4 linked regions of the Xenopus tropicalis genome follow. The protein of the gene in region 1 purifies or fractionates together with the protein of each later gene. This does not show direct contact. Links are inferred from orthologs where the notes say so. Each region holds a gene or a part of one and is shown in the gene's direction. Other genes may lie near its edges. The genes, in order: tubb, rictor, eef1a1 and arl2.

Evidence for each region.
Region 2: the proteins of tubb (region 1) and rictor purify together in Homo sapiens (affinity purification with mass spectrometry; 3 studies listed by BioGRID and IntAct, with this or other methods). This does not show direct contact. The link is inferred for Xenopus tropicalis from reciprocal best matches to the Homo sapiens genes TUBB and RICTOR.
Region 3: the proteins of tubb (region 1) and eef1a1 fractionate together in Homo sapiens (co-fractionation; 3 studies listed by BioGRID). This does not show direct contact. The link is inferred for Xenopus tropicalis from reciprocal best matches to the Homo sapiens genes TUBB and EEF1A1.
Region 4: the proteins of tubb (region 1) and arl2 purify together in Homo sapiens (co-immunoprecipitation; 3 studies listed by BioGRID and IntAct, counting the BioPlex papers as one, with this or other methods). This does not show direct contact. The link is inferred for Xenopus tropicalis from reciprocal best matches to the Homo sapiens genes TUBB and ARL2.

What each region holds. Positions count from the first base shown.
Region 1 is NC_030684.2:75,225,411-75,230,940, reverse strand, and holds the end of tubb (tubulin beta chain), read left to right. Parts: intron 1-1,246; coding exon 1,247-1,355; intron 1,356-1,551; coding exon 1,552-1,662; intron 1,663-2,175; coding exon 2,176-3,233; 3' UTR 3,234-4,275; downstream 4,276-5,530. UniProt on the Homo sapiens protein: Tubulin is the major constituent of microtubules, a cylinder consisting of laterally associated linear protofilaments composed of alpha- and beta-tubulin heterodimers.
Region 2 is NC_030677.2:197,059,304-197,064,608, forward strand, and holds part of rictor (rapamycin-insensitive companion of mTOR), read left to right. Parts: intron 1-1,166; coding exon 1,167-1,293; intron 1,294-1,999; coding exon 2,000-2,164; intron 2,165-2,309; coding exon 2,310-2,386; intron 2,387-2,482; coding exon 2,483-2,561; intron 2,562-2,974; coding exon 2,975-3,084; intron 3,085-3,175; coding exon 3,176-3,263; intron 3,264-3,425; coding exon 3,426-3,518; intron 3,519-3,694; coding exon 3,695-3,801; intron 3,802-4,421; coding exon 4,422-4,651; intron 4,652-5,305. UniProt on the Homo sapiens protein: Component of the mechanistic target of rapamycin complex 2 (mTORC2), which transduces signals from growth factors to pathways involved in proliferation, cytoskeletal organization, lipogenesis and anabolic output.
Region 3 is NC_030681.2:91,800,013-91,806,038, forward strand, and holds eef1a1 (elongation factor 1-alpha 1), read left to right. Parts: upstream 1-2,566; 5' UTR 2,567-2,596; coding exon 2,597-2,740; intron 2,741-3,012; coding exon 3,013-3,192; intron 3,193-3,295; coding exon 3,296-3,592; intron 3,593-3,689; coding exon 3,690-3,840; intron 3,841-4,290; coding exon 4,291-4,547; intron 4,548-4,664; coding exon 4,665-4,899; intron 4,900-4,988; coding exon 4,989-5,113; 3' UTR 5,114-5,392; downstream 5,393-6,026. UniProt on the Homo sapiens protein: Translation elongation factor that catalyzes the GTP-dependent binding of aminoacyl-tRNA (aa-tRNA) to the A-site of ribosomes during the elongation phase of protein synthesis.
Region 4 is NC_030680.2:32,598,484-32,604,266, reverse strand, and holds the start of arl2 (ADP-ribosylation factor-like protein 2), read left to right. Parts: upstream 1-2,028; 5' UTR 2,029-2,074; coding exon 2,075-2,139; intron 2,140-5,783. UniProt on the Homo sapiens protein: Small GTP-binding protein which cycles between an inactive GDP-bound and an active GTP-bound form, and the rate of cycling is regulated by guanine nucleotide exchange factors (GEF) and GTPase-activating proteins (GAP).

The sequences.
Region 1 (5,530 bases):
AACAAAAATAAGGTATAGCAAGGTAAATATAGATGCTTTACTTCATGGTTATCTGAAATTATATAGTATTGACAACAGGAGATATGTACTGTGTGAAACATTTATTGCTAGTTAAAGGAAGAATTTAGAATCTCTTGGAGTGAAGGATATAGCAGATTTCTAACAGGATGCCAATATGGCTGATATAACGGATGTGTGATCCATATTGTAAGGGTGTCCCAGTCTATTCCTGGCATTCAGGCGCAGCTGCAATGCCACACCCTAGGCTTTAGCGCTTCCTTGCCAAATGACCCGATATGCTTTACCCTGTGCAAAATAGACCCACTGAGATATATCATTATCCTGGCTTGTTACTGGGAATGATAATTATAGTATGTTTAATATACATATGTGTCTCCACTTGAATCTGCAGAACATTTATATTTCTATTAGTTTTATGGAGACCTGCCCATTTGTCAGCATTACATATTCTGTATATCTACTAAACAAATATCCAGTATTTTTGTGCATACGGGTGCACATGACATATTTCTAAATAGTATGTCACTGCCTGTCATGCTTTATAATGAATATCCTTTGTGTCACATTCCTGTCTCGCCTACACTAGGCTTGTGTGGCTGTCTTGTTCTCTGACTTCCTGTCAGTGTGGGGGAGGGAAGAGCAAACCCATTGAGTTGGAAATGGTAGAAAAGGATTGGACTGCAGGGAGTTAAATACTTAGCAGAACAGTAATGCAGGGAGGAGTATGAATTACAAATGAAAAGGCAGAGAGAGAAAATGAATGCGTAATAGTTTGTGGTTTTTAAAAGGCAGGGAAATAGATTCCTGAAATAGGTAGAGATAAAGTAGTCCTATTATATATATATATATATATATATATATATATATATATATATATATATATATATATATATATATATATATATATAAAAATAGAACTCCATATTGGATGGAGGCATAGACATCACATGGATTCACAGAGTGTGTTGTTTTTGCAAAACAGATGCAGAAATGTAGGAAGGAGGAAAAAAAGATAAGGGGGAATCGGAGAAAAAAATTGTATTGTGTAAGATCTGAAGGGGATGTGGTTACCATTTCCCTTTTCATTTTAGTTCTGTAAAGCAGCAACATCCAGCTGCCTTTGGCCTTTTTAATTATCCAAACTAATGTAACACGATTTGCATCAAACCTTTGGTTGGCAGCTTTCCGTATATTAACAAAGTGTATTTGTAAATTTTATTCTCAGTTTTGGGAGGTGATCAGTGACGAACATGGTATTGACCCCACTGGCACCTATCATGGAGACAGTGATCTGCAGCTTGACAGAATCAGCGTCTATTACAATGAGGCCACAGGTGAGAAGCGTTTGTATAAATGCATGTTTATGTCTGTGGGTGTAGGTAAAATGTGTTCAAAGCAACAAAAAAGTACCACTCTCAACAGGCTTAGTTGGAGAAACTGATTTTAATAAACAAAAGGAATTTTTTTTCTTGAGTCTCCTTTTGTGCCAGCTCCTTGTTACTTCCACTGACACACAGATTTTCTTCTTAGGTGGTAAATATGTCCCTCGAGCCATCCTTGTTGATCTGGAACCAGGAACTATGGACTCTGTGCGCTCAGGACCCTTTGGACAGATATTCAGGCCTGACAACTTTGTCTTTGGTAAGGCATATTTTTATATTTTTTTTTTTTGCCCGTTTTTTCTTTTCATGGTTTTTCAAGGTTTTTATTTGTTTTTATTATGTGTTTGGTTTGAAGGTGGATTTATACCAAATATAGTCCCTATCCTTGTTTAACTGAAGTGTCCTGCTTCTGTTCTGTTGGATAGCTTTGCTACATATCACATTGCAAATAAATTAAAAGTTGTTTGTTTTAAGAGGTTAACATGTTAAATGTACCCACACTCATCATTCCGTGGGACATATTTATTAAAGGCTTATATAGAGCTGAATCTAGTCCACCAGAGGGAAACTTCACAGGTCTATTTTAATAGAATCATTAGAGTAGTTATTAGAGGGAATTTAGTCACCTGTTAGAAGGGAAAAAAAATTGCATCACTAAACTGTACAGCTTAGATCATCTACTTGCTTGTGTTCCTTTGCTACATTTTGTTTTTCAGTACAAATTCACTCACCCTTGTCCGTTTTTATTAATTTATTTATTTTTTTTTCTCAGGTCAAAGTGGTGCTGGCAACAACTGGGCAAAAGGCCATTACACAGAAGGTGCTGAATTGGTAGACTCTGTACTGGATGTTGTGAGAAAAGAGGCAGAGAGCTGTGACTGCCTACAGGGCTTCCAGCTCACTCACTCTCTGGGTGGTGGAACAGGGTCTGGTATGGGCACTCTCTTGATTAGTAAGATCCGAGAAGAATACCCTGACCGCATCATGAATACCTTTAGTGTTGTCCCATCTCCAAAGGTGTCTGATACAGTGGTAGAACCATACAATGCAACTCTTTCTGTTCATCAGCTAGTTGAAAACACAGATGAAACCTACTGTATTGATAATGAAGCACTCTATGACATCTGCTTCCGTACCCTCAAGCTTACTACACCAACATATGGAGACCTTAATCATCTTGTTAGTGCTACAATGAGTGGAGTCACTACCTGCCTCCGTTTCCCTGGCCAGTTAAATGCTGATCTTCGCAAATTGGCTGTCAACATGGTGCCCTTCCCACGTCTACACTTTTTCATGCCTGGGTTTGCGCCCCTAACCAGCAGAGGCAGTCAGCAGTACCGTGCACTGACAGTGCCTGAGCTCACACAGCAGGTGTTTGATGCCAAAAACATGATGGCAGCCTGTGACCCACGCCACGGCAGGTACCTTACAGTGGCAGCTGTATTCCGTGGACGTATGTCCATGAAAGAAGTTGATGAGCAGATGCTTAATGTCCAGAACAAGAACAGCAGCTACTTCGTTGAATGGATTCCCAACAATGTCAAGACAGCTGTATGCGACATACCACCCCGTGGCCTTAAGATGGCAGTCACCTTCATTGGTAACAGCACTGCCATTCAGGAGCTGTTCAAACGCATCTCAGAGCAGTTTACAGCCATGTTCCGTCGCAAGGCCTTCTTGCATTGGTACACAGGAGAAGGGATGGATGAGATGGAGTTCACAGAAGCGGAGAGCAACATGAATGATCTGGTCTCTGAGTACCAGCAGTATCAAGATGCTACTGCTGAAGAAGAGGAAGATTTCAATGAAGAGGCTGAAGAAGAAGCTTAGACTCTTCTCACTGTTGCTGAAATTCCTTTCACGTTTCCTCCTCCATTCTCAGGCTGAGAAAGATCTGTACCGAAGAGTAGTATTTGTTTTTATATTCATATTTTTCCATTTCCTTTTTTCTCCTTACTTGTTTTTGTTGTCTCTCAAACTTCTATTCCCATTTTCTGTGTTCTGCTTGTCAGTTAAGGTAGGTTGTGGCTTAATTGGGGTAAACAGTTTGCTAAGGTTTTACAGTAGGTCTCTGGTTTCAGTATGCAGTAATTTGCCTCTGGATTTGGGTTTTGGATTTTAAGAGAGTTTTAACAGCCCATTGTGAATTCCATCTTTCCTTGGCCTAATAACATCATCAAATTTGTGGCTGGGTGCTGGTTTCTGCAGCTACATTTGGGTTACAAAGCAAACCTCTAATTTAGTCCCTTGGGACTTTACAAAACCCTTGCAGATTTTGCTTCTTTCTGTGCTTTTACAGATCACATTCAAGTGTTTGGTGGACATTCACATTTTCTTATGTTACTATGGAAATGACCTAGTAAGTGTTAAAATACACGTAACTGCAACTTCTGTCAACTAGAGCAATAGATATGATTCGGTTTTGCTCACATTTATGTAAATCCCAAGTATTTGAAATACCTTAATACTTCCAATTAGAAAATATGAAATGAAACTGATGTTTAACAAATGCACTTAATTCCCTTTACTGTAAACAGTATTGGTTGGTTAATTATAAGCTACATTAATCATATAGGCCCACTATCCATTGGGTAACTGGCATGGTTCATTGCCTGCAGTTGTATGTAGAGAAGTGCTCTGCATTTTACTTAACAAGTAACAGAAAAAAGTGCAGAAGAATGCTAAAGAACTCTACACAGTGATATAGGGATTATTTCTTCTTCTTCTCTTAACTTTACTCTTCAGATTTTCTTACATTACTTCCCTTTTTCTTCTCTTGTTCCCATACCATTATTTTTATTTTACTGTTGCTTTTTCATATTGAAAAGATGACAAGCCTGTGACGGAAAAAAATAAAACCCTTTTTTTTTTACATTGTCTTCTGTGTGATGGACTTATTTGGAAAAGTAGCTATGAATAAAAAAAAAACTTAAGTGGTATCAGATACCTGTTTATTGCCATTTTTTTTCAAGTAAAAAGGTAACCTTATTTTATTTTATTTATACTTCTAATAAGAGGCACAATGTTTGCCTATGTGCAGTAACCCATTTCATCCATTTTTAAAGGGGTGATGAGTAAAAGCTACCTGCTGATTGACTAGACATGTTTCAAACATTCTACCTTTTATTACATCACCCTCAAAGTTGCTCACTGTGCTGTTACATTTTACTACAAACTACATTTAGTAGAAATCATGCAACGCATTGCATGCTTCTCTCATTTTCTTTCCTAAGATGTCTGTAAAGCACATAACAATCAAGGCATGCTGATGCAGCATAGCAGTGTTATTCTGGGTAAGTAGAGGAAGGTCAGTTACAGACAGATTACTTTTAATAGGAATTATAAACAATTTAACTTGATAATTCTAAACCCACACGCGGTCCGAAAATCATACCAAACTAGGTACCCAGCACTTTGCATTATAGAATTCAAGACAATCTTCATCTTATAAGTGGGTATGTTGTAGCTTTGCAGACCTGACAGAACTGCTGTTTCACCCACCCCCCAACACTTTTTCAGACACTGACCAGAGAAACTCCAGTGAAGGTGTAGTTTTTAAAGCCAACAATCCTTCCCCCCCCCCCCCCCACCCCCTCAATAAGCTATATGTAAATCAAGCACCATATTATTTAAACAATGAGGGTGGTTCAATGTGTACTGTTTTCATGGCCTCGGTCAACAACCTTCTGCAGGATGAAACTTTCAAGTGCCAAACCCACTAAAAGGGCCATAGAGTAGGCCGGTGGGGAATTCAGTGGGGCTAGGAACTGAAGATGTGAATGTGCTGGCTTAAATGGTTGTAGGCAAATCTTGTAGGCCCAATCTATACCTATAAGGTTTAATAATGTGATAATATGTACTTACACAGATAGCTATACACAAGCTCATTTACACTATCATACAAAATTTGTCGGATCAACACAGCTGACATTCACATTCATCTGCCCTGATAAAGGGGATTGTCCGCTCTGATTCTGTCACTCTTCACACAGTTGAGGAGCAGGAAGCTTTTCACAGAGGGACGGGGCAGAGTTAAGATCTGCGGCTCAAATAGAATAGGCAACAGGCAGTACCTTAGACTGAATAGCTCTGGGATAGTACATTTTAGAATGGGTACATGCTCCAAG
Region 2 (5,305 bases), on another chromosome or scaffold:
GTTTATAATTATCGTTTAGCAGCCTTTAAATTAAGATTCTAATGCAAACCAGTGGTTTCATTAAAAAAAAGTAATGGTTTATAAAGGGTTATCCAACATGTATGAATCTTCCACAGGAGGGACAGATGGTGAGGTACTCATCCCAGCATGCAGTGGGCTTGTCAAAAAATTATGTTTTGTCAGTTTACTGCTCTTAAACGGAACATATAATGTGTTTATGTAGCTAATGTTTATGTGGCTTGACTTTGATATATAATGTAAAATTGCTCAGAATGACCTTCTAAGCACTTTCGCAGTTAATAATTTGTTTCCAAAGCTATTAAGCAGTTTATATATTTCAGTATAAGTTTTGCACTATTAGCAATTTTACATTACATTTTTTAAGGTTTACTTATCCTTTATAGACCGTTTTTTGGGCCATGTCTGTGTTAGAAATGATTATGTACAATGTCTTCTTGTCTAGATGCATAATGTGATGGCACATACTTGTTATTTATTGCCCTTTTTAACTGATTAAAGCTAATAGTTGTGTTGCTGCCACACTTATTTGTTCAGTTTTACACAAAAAAAAGTGTTAGCCCGCTGGTCCCTAAATATCATTTTTAACACATTGGCCACAACCCCCCCCCCCCCGAGAGAGGGAAAGAAAGCTTAGCTTCTGATGTGTTATGTTACTATGTGTCATATCCCTGTGAAAGGAGATACAAACCCAAAAATAACCTTTTGCCTTTTAAAGCAAAAGTCATTCTACACATCTTTCAATGTACGCTCATAAAAGGTTTTCATTTGTTATTAAGCCATTTGCTCATATAAAACCATGTCTTATCTGCCCCTGTTTATTTGAAACCGATATAGCAAAGGTTAGCTTTGCAATCTTCTTCACAGCTGCCTTCTGCAACATTGTTTCAGAAGTCAGAACCAGCAGTGTTGAAAATAGATAGGCAAAGGGGATGAGTGGTGAAATGTTTTAAGATAAACTCTGAAAAGTCCAGTTGTTTTAGACTGAATTCTACTAGATATTGTATATCATTACCTAGATGAATGAGAATCTTCATAGACACTGGGAAATAGCTTAGAAGTAAAATTCCTTTCTATATATCTCCATCCATGCAAGGTCATTAATATGAGAAGGGAAGGTTCAGTCAGTGTTCTGTGCTCTCTTGCAGTCTTTTGAATCTTTGCTCCCTGAAAAACCAAGATCACTTGTTAAAGTTAGCCATCTCCTGCCTGGATTATAGCCGAGATGGGCTGGCCAGAGTCATTCTTTCCAAAACCCTGACTGCTTCTACTGATGTGAGTATGATCAATCCCTTTGTGGCCATCACAAGTCTCATTTTTGGAGGGGCTGTTTATGGGTATTTATATCTACCATATGCCTCATGCATATGTGCTGTGTAGCTGAGCACGAGTGTCCTTGTGGTGTCATGAAGGGAATGTGAGGATGAGCACCGGCACCGCTGTGATACCATGATAAGAAGGGAGAAATATACTGTATATTCTGCTGTGGGAACCCTCCTTCCAAATACAGGCAGCTTTGTATTTATGGGGATAGTGGTCCGTCTCGATTGAGACCTGCAGCAGTTTTCTGCACCGAGAAAAGGCAAAGAAAGGGCCCCTTGCTCGCTGGCTTGGAAGCCATAAATGCCTCCTTGTATATCACAGGTGTAAAGTGAAATGTGCTCCACTCTACTCACATTCCCCTTTGTTTTTCCATGCTTTTTTATTCTCACTCTTGTTCTTCCATATTAACCCTTTTTGTCACCCTTCCTGTGATCACCCACCTTCCCTCACTTTGATTCCTTTCCCCATCTTACATTTTCTGCTTCTTTTTTCCCCCCTTATCCCCATTTTCTTCTATTCTGCTCTCCGTTTCCTTAAAGGAGATGTAGACCCTAACTTTTCCTACCATGGATACAAGTTGGGGACATTTCCCGCACTCCAACCGCATCATTTTTACTGCATGAACATTAAACATTAAAATATCTGTCTTTCTGTACAGAGCTGCCGGCTGTATGCCACCAAGCACTTGCGAGTCCTTCTGAGAGCCAACGTTGAGTTTTTCAGTAACTGGGGCATTGAGCTACTGGTGACCCAGCTGCATGATAAAAGCAAAAATATATCTTCTGAAGCTGTGGACATCTTGGATGAGGCCTGTGAAGACAAGGTGATTTGCTTGCTTGCCTAATTAAAACCAATTATTCCTAAGAAAATGCATGTTGTATAAGAACAATCTAAATAGTAACAATATGCTCAATATAAAAATGCAAACAGAATATTTTGGTCTGTAAAACATAATTTCTTTCTTTAAGGCCAATCTCCATGCACTGATCCAAATGAAACCGGCACTCTCTCATCTCGGGGACAAGGGGCTTCTCCTTCTCCTTAGGTGATTTGCTTACAGCCTTGCAGTACCAATTCAACAGGAACATTCACCTTGTGGTTTACTAAATGTTTTTTTTTTTTATTATTATTATTTTTGCAGATTCATGTCAATTCCAAAAGGCTTCTCTTATTTAAATGAGAGAGGTTATGTGACCAAGCAGCTGGAAAAATGGCAAAAGGTATTTGGACAAAGCCGACTCTGGGCAGTTTTCTGTGTTTATCATTTATGAACTGGTAGAATGCTGGTGATTAGCATTGCTCTAATTATCACGTAAAGGGGGCCACAGGCGGGTTTAAGCTGCTGGTTCATGTCCTTCAGACCGATTCAGCAGCTTATCAGCACGTGTATGGGGCCCTCCGCCAGGCCTCCCCGACCAACATCGCCCAGATGTTGATTTTTCTGTCTGATCGAGGGCTGGTGTTTTGCTCACTGATGCGGTCCACGTTCTGGCTTTTCATATCCCCTACATTGTAATGCAATTGTTTGGTCTGAGAAAGGGACTTTATGGGGATTTTATAGTAAACATAGCAAAAAGGACTTACTTGACCCTCCAATCAAAAATTCTTCTTTTACATGTTATCTTTTGTTTAGGAATACAATTTAAAATATGTAGATCTGATTGAGGAGCAGTTAAACGAAGCTCTCACCACTTATCGCAAGCCAGTTGATGGTGACAACTATGTTCGGCGTAGCAATCAAAGGTACCTGAGCTGCACCGACCTTTACCCAAATGTTACAGCTGTAAGAAATATGTTTTTTGACTATGTTCCTCTTGCATTTTTATCTACACAGACAGCAGCGGCCCCATGTTTATTTACCTGTGCATTTGTATGGGCAGCTGGTGTACCATAAGACTGGTTGTCATCTGCTGGAAGTTCAGGTGAGAGCAATGTATATACACTAGTTCTCTCTGTACTAGCTTATGTGAAGAAGAGGTAGGTGGGTGAGGAATGAAGGGCTGATTGCTGATTATGCTGAATTCTTTTTTATTATGTTGGTAACTTAATTGGTTTCATTTTTTAATTTTTTTTTTAATTTGAAGAATGTTGTCCCAGATCTGAGCTACACTGTCCGATCGCCATCATTAGACAAATGGGATGGAATCAAGCAGCTGAAAGCAGCCCTTTGGGCACTGGTGAGTTATGTCTGTTTATAACATTACCCAATGGGACATTACTGGTTCTAACTCCTTACATGAGGTACAACTATGCAATGTTATTAATATCATACCACACAAGCACATAGTGACTGGTTGCGTTTAAACAAACCCTCCAGCTGCCACCACAAATCTTCCATTTTTCTGTTTTATAGGGTAACATTGGGTCTTCGAACTGGGGACTTAATTTACTTCAAGAGGAGAATGTGATCCCTGATATTGTATCTCTGGCTCAGCATTGTGACGTTCTCTCAATAAGAGGGTGAGTGTGGTTGCATGGTTTAGAACCCCTTCCTATTGCCTCTGTTGAGGATGCAAGTAGCGTGGCTTTATTTTCTTATACTTCATTTTAAGTTGAGTGCGGTCTTATTGGCTGATCAGAACAGGTCAAATCTTTGCAGCAGGAGTGCCGATATGTTAGTTTGCAGTTTTCCAGTAGATCACAGCATTGTGGCATTGCCCACACACCTTTATTAGTTCTCCCTTCTGTGTTCCTTAACGTATTAATATATTCAATAGAATAATTATATGGTAACTAAAGAAAAGGGCGCATTTATATGACATAATGATCCAGTGTAATGCAGTGATCACAACAGTGTACCTTGAGGTGGTGGACCCTGATCCAGGGTGAACCTGACCCTTCCGGATCATGTGTTTGTTCTTCTATTGGGTTATAAACCTGTAGCTCTAAGGAGCCTTATTGTAATCCTCAAATGTCTGCATTACTGTAGACCTTTGGATCTTTGCCCTAAGTAATCAAAAGAGTTGATTAAGATGTTGGGAGTTGCTGCAGTGAAAATGTGTAGGAAGATTTCTGAACATTTTGCTAGATATTTGTATTTAAATTTTTCTGAAAAAAACAAAACTCTTTGTGTATTCTAGGACCTGCGCGTATGTCCTTGGCCTGCTCAGCAGAACAAAGCAAGGTTGCGATACCCTAAAGCAGCATAACTGGGATGCCGTAAGGCACAGTCGCAGGCATCTTTGGCCAGTGGTCCCTGATGATATGGAGCAGCTGTGCAATGAGCTTTCTTCTATACCAAGCACGCTTAGCTTGAACTCTGAGTCGACCAGTTCTCGGCATAATAGCGAGAGTGAACCTGCCCTTCCCAGTAAGGAATTCAAGTTGTTTTTGCTATTTATTCACATGTTCTGATTTCAGTGCAGTTAGGCTGAAGTGCACAGATACAACCATAGAACTGCAGTCCCCCTTGGTTCAGCCAGTGCCATGTCAATTATCCTAAACAGTTCTGACTCACAGAACAGTCACAAATCAAAATGATTTTGTTCTTAATAAACTATTTCCCACTCGGAGTAGTGAGTGTAATAATAGCACCCAGAGTAAGTGCTGCTTTCTCACCACCCCTGCCTGATTGCTTGGCAGTTTATTCCCAGAACAGCACTGTCTTAACTAATGATACACAGAAATATGAAGGCAAAGTAGAGAGGTGCAGGGGAGTTATTTTTATTTTCTCTTACATGGCGGGGGGTTGGGGGGGCATTGTCTGCAAAGTAACATAGGTTGAAAAAAGACACACGTCCGCCACATTGTCTATTATGTCTAAGTGAAACCTGCCTAACTGCTAAATGATCCAGAGGAAGGCAAAACACCCATTTGAGGCCTCTCCTAACTTAGTTTCTATAAGTTTCTATAGAGGTCAATTGGAGTTGTCATAGGCAAAGTTAAGCTAGTTTTCAAACTCAAAATGTTTTTGAATTTGTAAACTCAGGAGTTTTTTTTATTCATATTTTTTAACTGATCTATA
Region 3 (6,026 bases), on another chromosome or scaffold:
CCAATTTAACTTGTGAGCTAAAATGATAAATTCTATTCAAAGTGGCTAGTTTAATAGCGAACAATACAATATTTAGGAGGAGAGTGAGTGAAAGAATGAATGATGCGCCAATTCAGTCTGTGCTATTGGGCATGCCCCAGGGGCTAAAGGTGAACTTAAAACTTGCAGCCATTATGCCAAAGTAATACTTCTGGTTATGCCACACCATTAAATGGTTACAACACACCAATAACCATACGTAACTAACACTATTGGGGGGTGAGTGGGGAAATGCCCTTTCCTTATAGTTAATATAAAAGTCATACCTGCTTAGTTTTACATTCCCGTAACAATCATCATTAATTCAGACTACATGGTAACCACATTCAGTAAAAACACAGTTATAGCGAGTTTGTGAGTTTATTAACCACACCATCCCCCCAACCAAAACCCCTTTCAGCCCCCATGAAGCACCCGCATGATGTAGGCCGCTGCTTTCCCAAGTGACGGGTTTTGCAATACGAGAGGCGGCGGCATTTGTCGATGCCCAGGGGAGGTCAGCGAAGAGGGAACCGTGAGTTCAAGTTTATTACCAGACACCTGTAGCTTTGGATGCCTGGAATTCCGCTCCATGCGGCCCAAGTCCTTCAGCCCGCTGTGCTGTTAATAAACCTGGCATACTGCCGCGCATGTTAAACAAGGTCGGCGAAGGAATATCCCAACGCATTCAGCCATTTCCCATTGTATTGGGGTAGAAAACTCTTCTAGCAAATGCTATGCCGCACAATAGGGCCACTGAAGTGACGGCGACACGAACTGTAGGTGAGGTAGCAGAGCCCAGACCCTCCCCCCAGGCGGGACACATGGCCGCCATGATGCGGATGAGTCACGGGGTTACCGGAACACGTTGCTCAATGTAAGAATGTAGCTGAATGCTTCTAAAGCAGCACATTATGCGCACCATTTCGGCCTAAAACCCCGATATTGAACTGTCAACAGCCAACACACGGCTTCTGTGTATATTTAGGTAATGGTAGTTTAGTAACAGTAGGGTTGGTAGGAAGCTATGACGCAAAAGGGAGTGCCATCTTTCCTTTAACCCACAGTCTAAACTTCGTGATAACTCGCGCGTTTCGCTCAACAGCTGCGCCCGGAGCCGCCCTAGTGCTACTGGGAGTTGTAGTATACTAGAAGCTTACAGGCTGAATTTTCACTCAAGACCCCGCCTCTCACACTTTGGGAATTCTGGGCGCGATGATGTCACGATCAAGCCCCGCCCAGTAGAGGCAGCTATATAAAGGGTGGTTAGCGGCGGATTCGCTCTCTTCCTCACCGGGTCTGCGGCGAGTTTTAAGGTAAGTGGGTTGCGTTCAAGGGCCGGGTCGTGATTTTGAGATTTGCAGTGAAACCTGCAATTGGATGTGTGTGCTGTGTTCTGTTCCGTTGTTATTGTAGATAAATAGGTTTCCTCTGCCGTAGTTTATTTAACTTTTATGGAACCACGCGTGCATTTGTTACGGAGTTGCTTGGGGCCGTGGTCTCTTTCAGCTGTGTATTAGCGTATTTCTGGCAATTAGTGTTACCGTATTGTTACACTAGATATCTTGGCGGGAAGGGAACATGGGTGCTTAAAGTGGGCGCAAAATGAAGAACGGTGCCAAAGCAAGGCTTGCGGCCTAGTCCCAATCTGCGCTGCATCCTCTCCTATGTAAGCCATCCGCCTCCTCTCAATATATACTTGGCTTTAGGCGGATGTGGTTAATATTGCCGGTGCTGTATTATTCCAGACGGTAAATGCTTAAGGCTCGACAAGTGAACGTGGTTTGGGGAAGGAGCGAGAGAGCTGTGCGGATGGGTGGCGGCGCGCCTACATGGGATTCATTGTACGTAGTGCAGTTTAGACTGGTCAGGCGAACATAGTGTTTGTGGTGCCTGTAAGCGCTGAACTATAGCAGGACTGGGGCTATTGCCAGTGTCAGGGCCCGGCTGGCACAATGGCGCTAGTGCTGACGTGTATCACCCTCTCTCCCAGGCAGGCTCGGCGTGGCCGGTGTATCCGAGCCAGTGGGGGCGGCTTCACTCACTAAATGGCCGGCGTGCTACGGGTTACTGCTGGCCCTGCTTGAACGCGGGATAGCAGCTGCTTACTTATTGGGTTAAATGTTCTGTGTGGGCTCTGCTCTTTTCTATAGAAATGAAACGTATCTAAACCATTAGTCCTGTTTAGCGTTGCGTTCCCCCATCTGGTTGTTCCATAAAGATGGCGGCGGCTCTCAGCTGAAGGATTTTTTTTTCTCCACAAGATGGAGGCTGAGTCACAAGTGAGGAGACAAAAGAGCTGGGAGCGCTGCATGCAGGGCCTGACTCATACACCAGGGGGAGTACAGGCCTCGCTCTTGCCTTCTTCCTTTTATGTAATGAGGGATTTCAGGGTTTTTTTTCCAACTAGATATCTGTGCAAAGTTCTTGAATTGTGGGTGGGGCTGCTTGTGTCTCCAGCCCTTGGAACTGCTGAGTAATGCCTGCCATGGCTTGCTTTGATGTGACCTATATTTTTAGCTTTTTTTTTTTTTTTGATGTTTTTTAGTGTCCACCGCCAAACATCTAACAATCCACAATGGGAAAGGAAAAGACTCACATCAACATCGTCGTCATTGGACACGTAGATTCTGGAAAGTCCACAACAACTGGACATCTTATCTACAAATGTGGTGGTATCGACAAGAGAACCATCGAAAAGTTCGAGAAGGAAGCTGCTGAGGTAAATTTTGTTAACAATCGCACTTCTTGTGGTATTGCAGCAGTCTCACCCCCCCCCCCCCTTACTAAATATTTAGTCCTGCACATGTTTGTTTAGACAAGTCTTGCCTGTGCACTAATGTGTACTTGTATTTGGTTTGTATTAATAGCCACCTGCCTTGGGTGTTTGTGATAGTAGGGGGAGTATAAACATTGCAGTGTGTCAGGTCATTCTTGGCAGAAGCCTTGTAAGGGGTTTTTAATCATGTCATTGCTGAACTTTTCACCTAACAGATGGGCAAGGGCTCCTTCAAGTACGCCTGGGTCTTGGACAAACTGAAGGCCGAGCGTGAACGTGGTATCACCATTGACATCTCCCTGTGGAAATTTGAGACCAGCAAATATTATGTTACTATCATTGATGCTCCAGGACACAGAGACTTCATCAAGAACATGATCACTGGTACCTCTCAGGTAGGTTTTAAGTCCCAAGCAGCTTTGCTATTTATATCTAAAGTAGGTGAGGCAGGCTTGCTGTTAAGTGCACATGAGTAAAAATGTATGTTTTCTCTTGTAGGCTGACTGTGCTGTCCTGATTGTTGCTGCTGGTGTTGGTGAATTTGAAGCTGGTATCTCAAAGAACGGACAAACTCGTGAGCATGCCCTCCTTGCCTACACTCTGGGAGTAAAGCAACTGATCGTTGGTGTTAACAAAATGGATTCAACTGAACCCCCATACAGCCAGAAAAGATATGAGGAAATCGTTAAGGAAGTCAGCACATACATCAAGAAGATTGGTTACAACCCTGATACTGTTGCCTTTGTACCTATTTCTGGATGGAACGGTGACAACATGCTTGAGCCCAGCGCCAATGTAAGTACTGTGGCAGTTCACTTAAATGTCTACAGCCTGGCATACTCTCTGGTTAGTGTAACAGTATTTTGATGTATACAAATCTTGTTTTTTCTAGATGCCTTGGTTTAAGGGGTGGAAAATCTCACGTAAAGAGGGATCTGGCAGCGGAACTACCCTGCTGGAAGCTCTTGACTGCATTTTGCCACCAAGTCGCCCAACTGATAAGCCTCTGCGTCTGCCTCTGCAGGATGTCTACAAAATTGGCGGTAAGTAACACTTTTCCTATGTGTATGCTGGAATGTTGTTCGTGCTTTAGGTTTACTGGCCTACATGGTTTGTGGGGGAAACCAAGTTAAAAATCGTGCATCTGTTTAAAAAAACTTAGCAGCCTTTTTTTTTTTTTTTTTTTTTTGTACAGGTTAACTGCTTGTCTGAAATAATCCCTCCCCCCCCAACTGCAGTAACAAATTTGAAGTTCACCAGGCATGGATGTCCCTAGTTAACAGCTTTGATATATTACGTTACTGCTTTTTTAATGTCTAGTGAATAAAATATTGGCAGCAAAGAGCTCATAAATCTAATTTTAGCTTAGACACTCTAAACAAGTCTCCAGAAGGAAGACTAGTAATTGCCAACATGTACGTTTAGGCCTTGTTTTGGCAGTGCTGGGATTTAGTATGTTAAAGTATTCACACTAAAATGGCTGTTTCTTTCAGGTATTGGTACTGTACCAGTTGGTCGTGTGGAGACTGGTGTCCTTAAGCCAGGCATGGTGGTTACTTTTGCCCCTGTTAATGTAACAACTGAAGTTAAATCTGTTGAAATGCACCATGAAGCCCTTAGCGAGGCCATGCCCGGTGACAATGTTGGCTTTAACGTGAAAAACGTTTCTGTGAAGGACGTCCGTCGTGGCAACGTTGCTGGTGACAGCAAGAATGACCCACCAATGGAAGCTGGTACCTTTACAGCACAGGTATGCAAGATGGCTTATGGCTAAAGGAAGTGATATGGCTTTCCATAGCTGGCTATGGGGGCATTTAAATCGCTTTGCATAACTCTAAGATTGTTTTCTAAATGTCTGACTTAATAGGTTATCATCCTGAACCACCCAGGCCAGATTGGTGCTGGATATGCCCCTGTGTTGGATTGCCACACAGCTCACATTGCTTGCAAGTTTGCTGAGCTGAAGGAAAAGATTGATCGCCGTTCTGGTAAGAAACTGGAAGACAATCCCAAGTTCCTGAAGTCTGGTGATGCTGCCATTGTTGACATGATCCCAGGAAAGCCTATGTGCGTGGAGAGCTTCTCTGACTACCCCCCTCTTGGTAAGTCTTTTTCAAAATAACCTTTTTGCAGTCTTGTAAAATGCTACCCAGTAGGCCCTTAAGCTAATTATCCATTTATTTTTTTCAAGGTCGTTTTGCTGTCCGTGACATGAGGCAGACTGTTGCTGTAGGAGTCATCAAGGCGGTCGATAAGAAGGCTGCTGGAGCTGGCAAAGTCACAAAGTCTGCTCAGAAAGCACAGAAAGGCAAATGAATATTTCCAGCATCTCTCACCTCAGTCATAACCAGTGGTGGAGGATTGGTCTCAGAACTCTTTCTATCAATTGGCCATCAGAGTTTAATAGTCAAAGACTGGTTAATGATTACAATGCATCGCAAAAGCTTCAGAAGGAAAAAAATGCTCGTGGACACATTTGTTTGTGGCAGTTTTTAAGTTATTAGTGTTTTAAATCCAGTAATTTCTAAATGGAAGCAACTTGACCAAAATCTGTCACCAAATTGAGACCATTAAAAAAAAGTTAAAAGATAACAAGCTTGTTTTCCACTCTGTGGGTGATTTCAGCTGAGCTTGGTGTTGCAGCTGTAAATAAAACAAATTAGCATCTAGGTTGGTAGGTCACTGGATACTAATTAGTTTGGGCATTTACTTGGGTGTACCTATATTAGACACCACAGTGAATCCAGTTGCCCCTCTGTTTTATTGCAGTGCCAATTACATTTTAAACAAAACAGAAGCATATGCACAGACAACTGTAATTTTCATTCCCTCAAGTTGCAAGATTTAAACCTAGCAGTAGTATATCTAGTATAAATAAATCTAAAGCAACTGGACTTGTTTGGCAATCATTTACCAAACAAGTCCAGTTGCTTTAGATTTATTTATACTAGATATACCATGACCTGGATGAATGAAAATCTTCATAGACACCTAGCAGTAGTATGTTGTCTTAGGAGATTTTGCAACACTTTGGTCTCTAGCTGCAAGTGCAGGAAAGCATGGGGTTGCTGAGAGCGTCATGCCTCTAAAAGGCACAGGCACAAGCCAGTTGTAATATGTATGGCAATAGCAGTATAATGACTTGGGTAATTTGGAAGACACACAAGTGTGTAGTTACTAGCAATGCTTTATTCTTTCTATGGTATGGCTGAGTTTCTGTATGGGCTAA
Region 4 (5,783 bases), on another chromosome or scaffold:
AGTGGTAATATAAGACAGTTCTTATTTTTGTGTTTTTTTTAACCATTTTACTAATTATCTGTAATATAAAGAGGTCGGCACTTGATACACCTATAAACAAGTGTTATACAAAACTTAAAATGTATCAAGCCATTTGTAGGCAACACATACGAAGACAGCAAAGTAGTTTGATTTTTCTTTGTCTACTCATGGGGTCTCATTCACTGCCTGCCTCTATATATTATGGATTATCTGCTCCTTATATTGTAGGCTCAGATTTGTGCAACTAATCCAACTGCATACATAGGTGAGAATTTAACACCAATAGCACACTGGTTACACTATGACAACACTGCACTACATGATCTTCTGTAAGATCTGCCTTGTAGGAATGAAAGGTTGGTAATAGACTTCCCACTAAATAGTGACTGTCTATGGCATCTTACAGCAGCCCCTCTGGCATTTCAAGTACACAGAGACCCAAACAGCCCCCCACCAGCCCAATAAATAGTGACTGTCTATGGCATCTTACAGCAGCCCCTCTGGCCTTTGCCAGTCTGGGTCTGACTATGGTATTACAGTATTACATCCATGAACAGCAATGAAAAGATGGATTTCTCAGCTGCCTTGATTCAATAAAAATAATAAATATATAGTAAATATATAGATAGGCAAATATCTTGTAGTCAGTATATTTGCTAGTTATGGGCTGTCTGCACATTTAACAATTATTTGAATATAATTTTGCATTTGTTACTTTCACACTGTGATCTCAGGATTACGTTGCTCCTTTTGTCTCCCTTATTTCTGAAGAATAGTCAGTAAGACACTGTAATGTCAGTAATTATTAAATCCAGTATAACTGTACTAACGTAGGAATTAACCCATGACATTACCATTTTATAAACTGTGATCACAGATGTTTATTATTGCAGAAACATTGCTGAATTTAATGTTCATCACTCACTGACATTTTAGGGACACTGGGAAAGTGCTGAGGCACATTAATATATTTGTCTAGTTTTTTTCTTGTTTTTTGTACAGAACCAGAGAGCTATAGCAACACAAGCCTGTGTGGTTGATAGCAGGTGGCAAACACTATGTGAAGGTATCAGGGATATCCAACCAGCACCTGAAAAACATCTTAAAGGGTGGAAGTTCTGGGCATTCCTTTTTTCTATGAATCCAGCTCCCTCAGACTGGGGTCCCACATTTCCCCATTGCTCCCACCCCTCTCACTGTTACACTCGGTTCAGCCTCCTTTCACTACACATTCCTTATCAGATTTCAGCCTTTGTTCATTTTTGGCCCCTAAACCCAATTTTCTGCTGTTAAATATAATTCCACTTTCGGTATTTCAGCATCAGTCGTTTCCCATTATTTTAACAATCTATCTGCATTCCTGTCATCAGGGTTCCATTTTATGGTTCTTGTTCTTATGAATGATTTCAGCTCTGTCTCCGTCTTCACATCACCTATTTATATTAAATCATGTTTATATTTACCACCACGGCAAGCTAATCGCCTCCTTTATAAATGTATATTATCCGTCTCATTGCCTGCCCTATCTGTTTTGTCCCTCTATACGCCCATCTGCTTTCTCAGTTTGCTGCTTTTACTCACCGGCACCTTTGGGTAGACTTAGACACACAAAAGATGGCCACCTTGACCCGCCGCACGCATGCGACGCAACGTCACCTTGACAACCATCCACCAATGAGAACTCGCAGATACCCGAAATTATATGCCAAATATCTTTATCTTTTCATTACAATTCATTTATTTTTTTATTGTAAAAAAGTGGTATCTTTTAAATTAGAGAATGTGGATTACGAATAATTGTTATATATATTTATTACCTCACATAGTATTAGCATATACATATGACACGTTTTGTCATGTCGGTATAATTAAAGTTGTTGACAAAAAAAAAAATGAATGCTTTGTTTCCATAGCGACACGGTTAGATGGCGTTCATTGGCCTACGCAGACCTACGCAAATACCAATAGCAGGGGCGGAAGTTGAAGAACGTCGTATCTGATTGGTCGGCAGTTCTGACAGGAGACCTGGGCAAGGAGAAAGCGTCTGAGCATCATGGGCTTACTAACTATTCTTAAGAAAATGAAGCAGAAGGAGCGGGAGGTTCGGCTACTCATGCTGTATCCACACCTTGGTGTATCGCGGCGGGAACTATTGAGCTATTATGTTAGGGCCCGACTTGAGAAAGCACATACATTGCTACATGTGGCTACTGTCTTTATGGCTGTGTAAGAGCAAAGTAGGGATCGGACAATATTTCATGTTACACCGTGTAATGCTTGTCTTATGTAGCGTCTTAAATGGCGGGGTGACTGGTCAGTTTGGTAGGTGGGGGCAGAACATTAGTTATATAAAGCATGGTGTGTTTAGTTGCACTAATATAACTAGGGTGTGGTTTAGGTGCCCCTGACCTGCTGAGCACTTTGTATGGGGCCACAGTATATTCCAGAATATAACTGCGCTGGGCATTCCTTTATGCACTTGTGTCTGGCCATTCTCATATTGAGGTGAGTGCCAAAATGTACTATAATGTACTATAACAACGTGTCATTAATATTTAATCGTAGAAACCCACGTTTTTCTGTACACAAAAGTGTACATTTTGGGCACCATTTTAAACCTAAAAAGAAAATTGAAATTCACTGGAGGATGCCAATTTGTTAACCCCCCCCCCCCCCCCCCCCCCATATATATATTTTAACCCAGTTAGTCTCTCTCTAATTTTCTGTAAAAAAAAAAGAGAAAAAGCACACCAGCCTAATGCACTTTTTCAATGAGCTGCGCTCTTCCATCTTTGCTGCTTGTCTCAAATCCCTTGCAGCTGTTCTGCTCTGGTAGATATGGCAGTTTTAGTTCATTACATTACATTACATTAACATTTATTTATAAAGCGCCAACATATTCCGCAGCGCTGTACAATAAGTGGGTTTCATACATTGGACATACAGAGTAACATATAAAGCAATCAATAACCGATACAAGAGGTGAAGAGGGCCCTGCCCAAAAGAGCTTACAATCTACAAGGAGAAAGGGTTGAGACACAAGGTGTGGGAATGGGCATGACCAGAGTTGTGAGAGGTGGGGCACAGGGTATTGCTAAACTAGATTAGGGTAAGCCTCTCTAAATAAATGTGTTTTTAGAGATTTCTTGAAGGCAGAGAGATTGGTAGAAAGTCTGACAGTTTGTGGGAGCGAATTCCAGAGAAGGGGGGCAGCCCTTGCAAAGTCTTGAATGCGAGCGTGTGAGGAGGGAATGAGAGAGGAGTTGAGGAGCAGGTCAGTAGAGGAGCGTAACAAGCGGGTTGGATGGTACCTAGAGATGAGTTCAGAGATGTAGGGTGGGGCAGAGTTATGAACTGCTTTAAATGTGAGGGTCAATAGCTTGAATTTTATCCTGGATGGTAGGGGAAGCCAGTGCAGGGATTGGCAAAGCGGCACGGCAGAGGAGGAGCGGTTGGAGAGGTGTATGAGCCTGGCAGCAGTATTCATTATGGACTGGAGAGGGGACAGTCTTTGGAGGGGAAGGCCAATTAATAGGGAGTTACAGTAGTCCAGGCGAGATATTATAAGAGGGTGAATAAGAATTTTGGCAGCATCTTGGGTGATAAATGATCGGATTTTGGAGATATTTCTTAGGTGAAAGTGACATGATTTGATAAGTGATTGGATATGAGGGGTGAAGGACAGGGCAGAATCAAGGATAACCCCAAGGCACCGGGCCTGGGAAGATGGGGTGATGGTAGAATTGTTAACCGTTCAATGCATGGGCACCAGTCCTAGACAGCTTCAAGGGTTCATGGGTATGGGTGGTGGCACAAACGGCACAATACTCAGTAAGAAATGTACCCTGAGCCTCTGCATTTTTATCAGGAGCCAATGTTTGTATTGTTGAATGGTCATATCTTGCATCGTGGTACATTTATGATGAATATCCAGCCAGGCTGTTGGTTTGACCACATACACTGGCCGATAACCTGCAGACTCTTGGTGGGGTCAAGTCAGCAGCTATTATTAGATGACTGCATTGGGGTATGGGATGGGGATGAGTTTTCCTTGCAGCGTTTTGTTGAATATTGTAATCTGGCCATTGAAGGTATTAAGTTTACTTACGAAACAAACAGGGATGTGATCCCCTTCCTGGATATAGTATTTTTTGTACAAAACAACCGAATAGCAACAGATTTATACCGTAAACCTATAACACGCAATACACTCTTACATGCAGACAGCGGGCACCCCCGGAATTGTGTGCGAGGAATCCCAGTGGGACAGTTTCTGCATCTTAGACGCATATGTTCCTCTTGGGATTCCTTTCACAAACAGGCCATGCAACTGTGGGACAGATTTGTACAGAGAGGTTATGACACGGAAACCATCAAAATAGCCTATGAGAGGGCAGTTGCCACCAGTAGGTCCGATTTACTCAATAGTGCATCTCAGGATAAGGCATGCCCAAGGGGTAAGGCCAAATATAATCATAAGTCCAATACTAGGTTTTGCCTTACTTATGGCAAGGGAGTTGCAGAAATACAAAGAAGTGTCCGCAAACACTGGGCGGTCCTTTTACAAGATGCAGATCTGTGTAAGGTCTTGGATGAGACACCCCGATTTGTTTTTAAAAGGGGTAGAAATTTAGCCTCATGGATTTCTAAAAGTCTATACTCCACTGAGACTTATAAACAGGGGGCGACATGGATGCGCTATAAGGGTACATATAAATGCGGTAGAAGGAGATGTAAAGCTTGTACTCTAATTGGGGTATCCAAATCCTTCAGGAGCTCCAATACAGGGTGTGTCTACCAGATTCCCCAATACTTTAATTGTCAGACCAAAGGGGTGGTATATCTAGCCACATGTGAGTGTGGAGCCCAATATGTGGGCAAGACTATCCGGGGGGCAGGCATACGCTTTCTTGAACATATGTCAGCAGTAGATAGGGGTGATCTAAGGTCTGCAGTAGCCAAGCATGCCATTGAAGCACATAGTAAGAGGTGTACGATTACCTTTCAAATCATTGATAAACCGAGACTGAATGTCAGAAAGGGGGAACTGGATAAGAGGCTCTCAGAAAGGGAAGTCTATTGGATATATTATTTGAAAACCACTGAATGTTATGGGGGCTTAAATAGAGAGTGGGAGCTTTCCTGTTACTGTTGAATCTCTTATCTCTTCTTTGAATGTATGTCCTTGTTGTCTTTAGTTACACGGATGACATTGCGAATTGTTGTGATTTTATATATATTAAGGGTATGTCCATTGTTCTGATTTACTACCTAGATTAAATATTTATGTTTGGATACATTACCGATTACATGACATAATTAGCGAAACACACCTGTGAAGTGATAATATACCTCTTGTATACATATTCAGTTTAGATTTCAAAAGTAAGGGGTTATATAGTTACTATGTATACAGAGTCTTCATAATGATTTTATTGCCCTAATATTTTTATATATTTTTATATGTTTTCCACGTTGAATTGTATATATCATATCTGTTACGTGTTTTCCACGTTGAACTGTATATATCAAATATGTGTTACAAATGTGGCACCCTAGGGGTTAAAGCACACTTATGGGGGTGGGTCTTTACCTGGCTATTTAGGGCACTAGAGGGTGTGATTTGCACATTATAGCTTCTGAGGAAGTGGCAGTAAGCCACGAAACGCGTCAGGCTGATGGTGTAGTTTTGTTATGATTTTAATGGAGACAACAAATAAAGAATATAATTTTTACTGAAAAGCAATCCTGGCGTGCTCCAT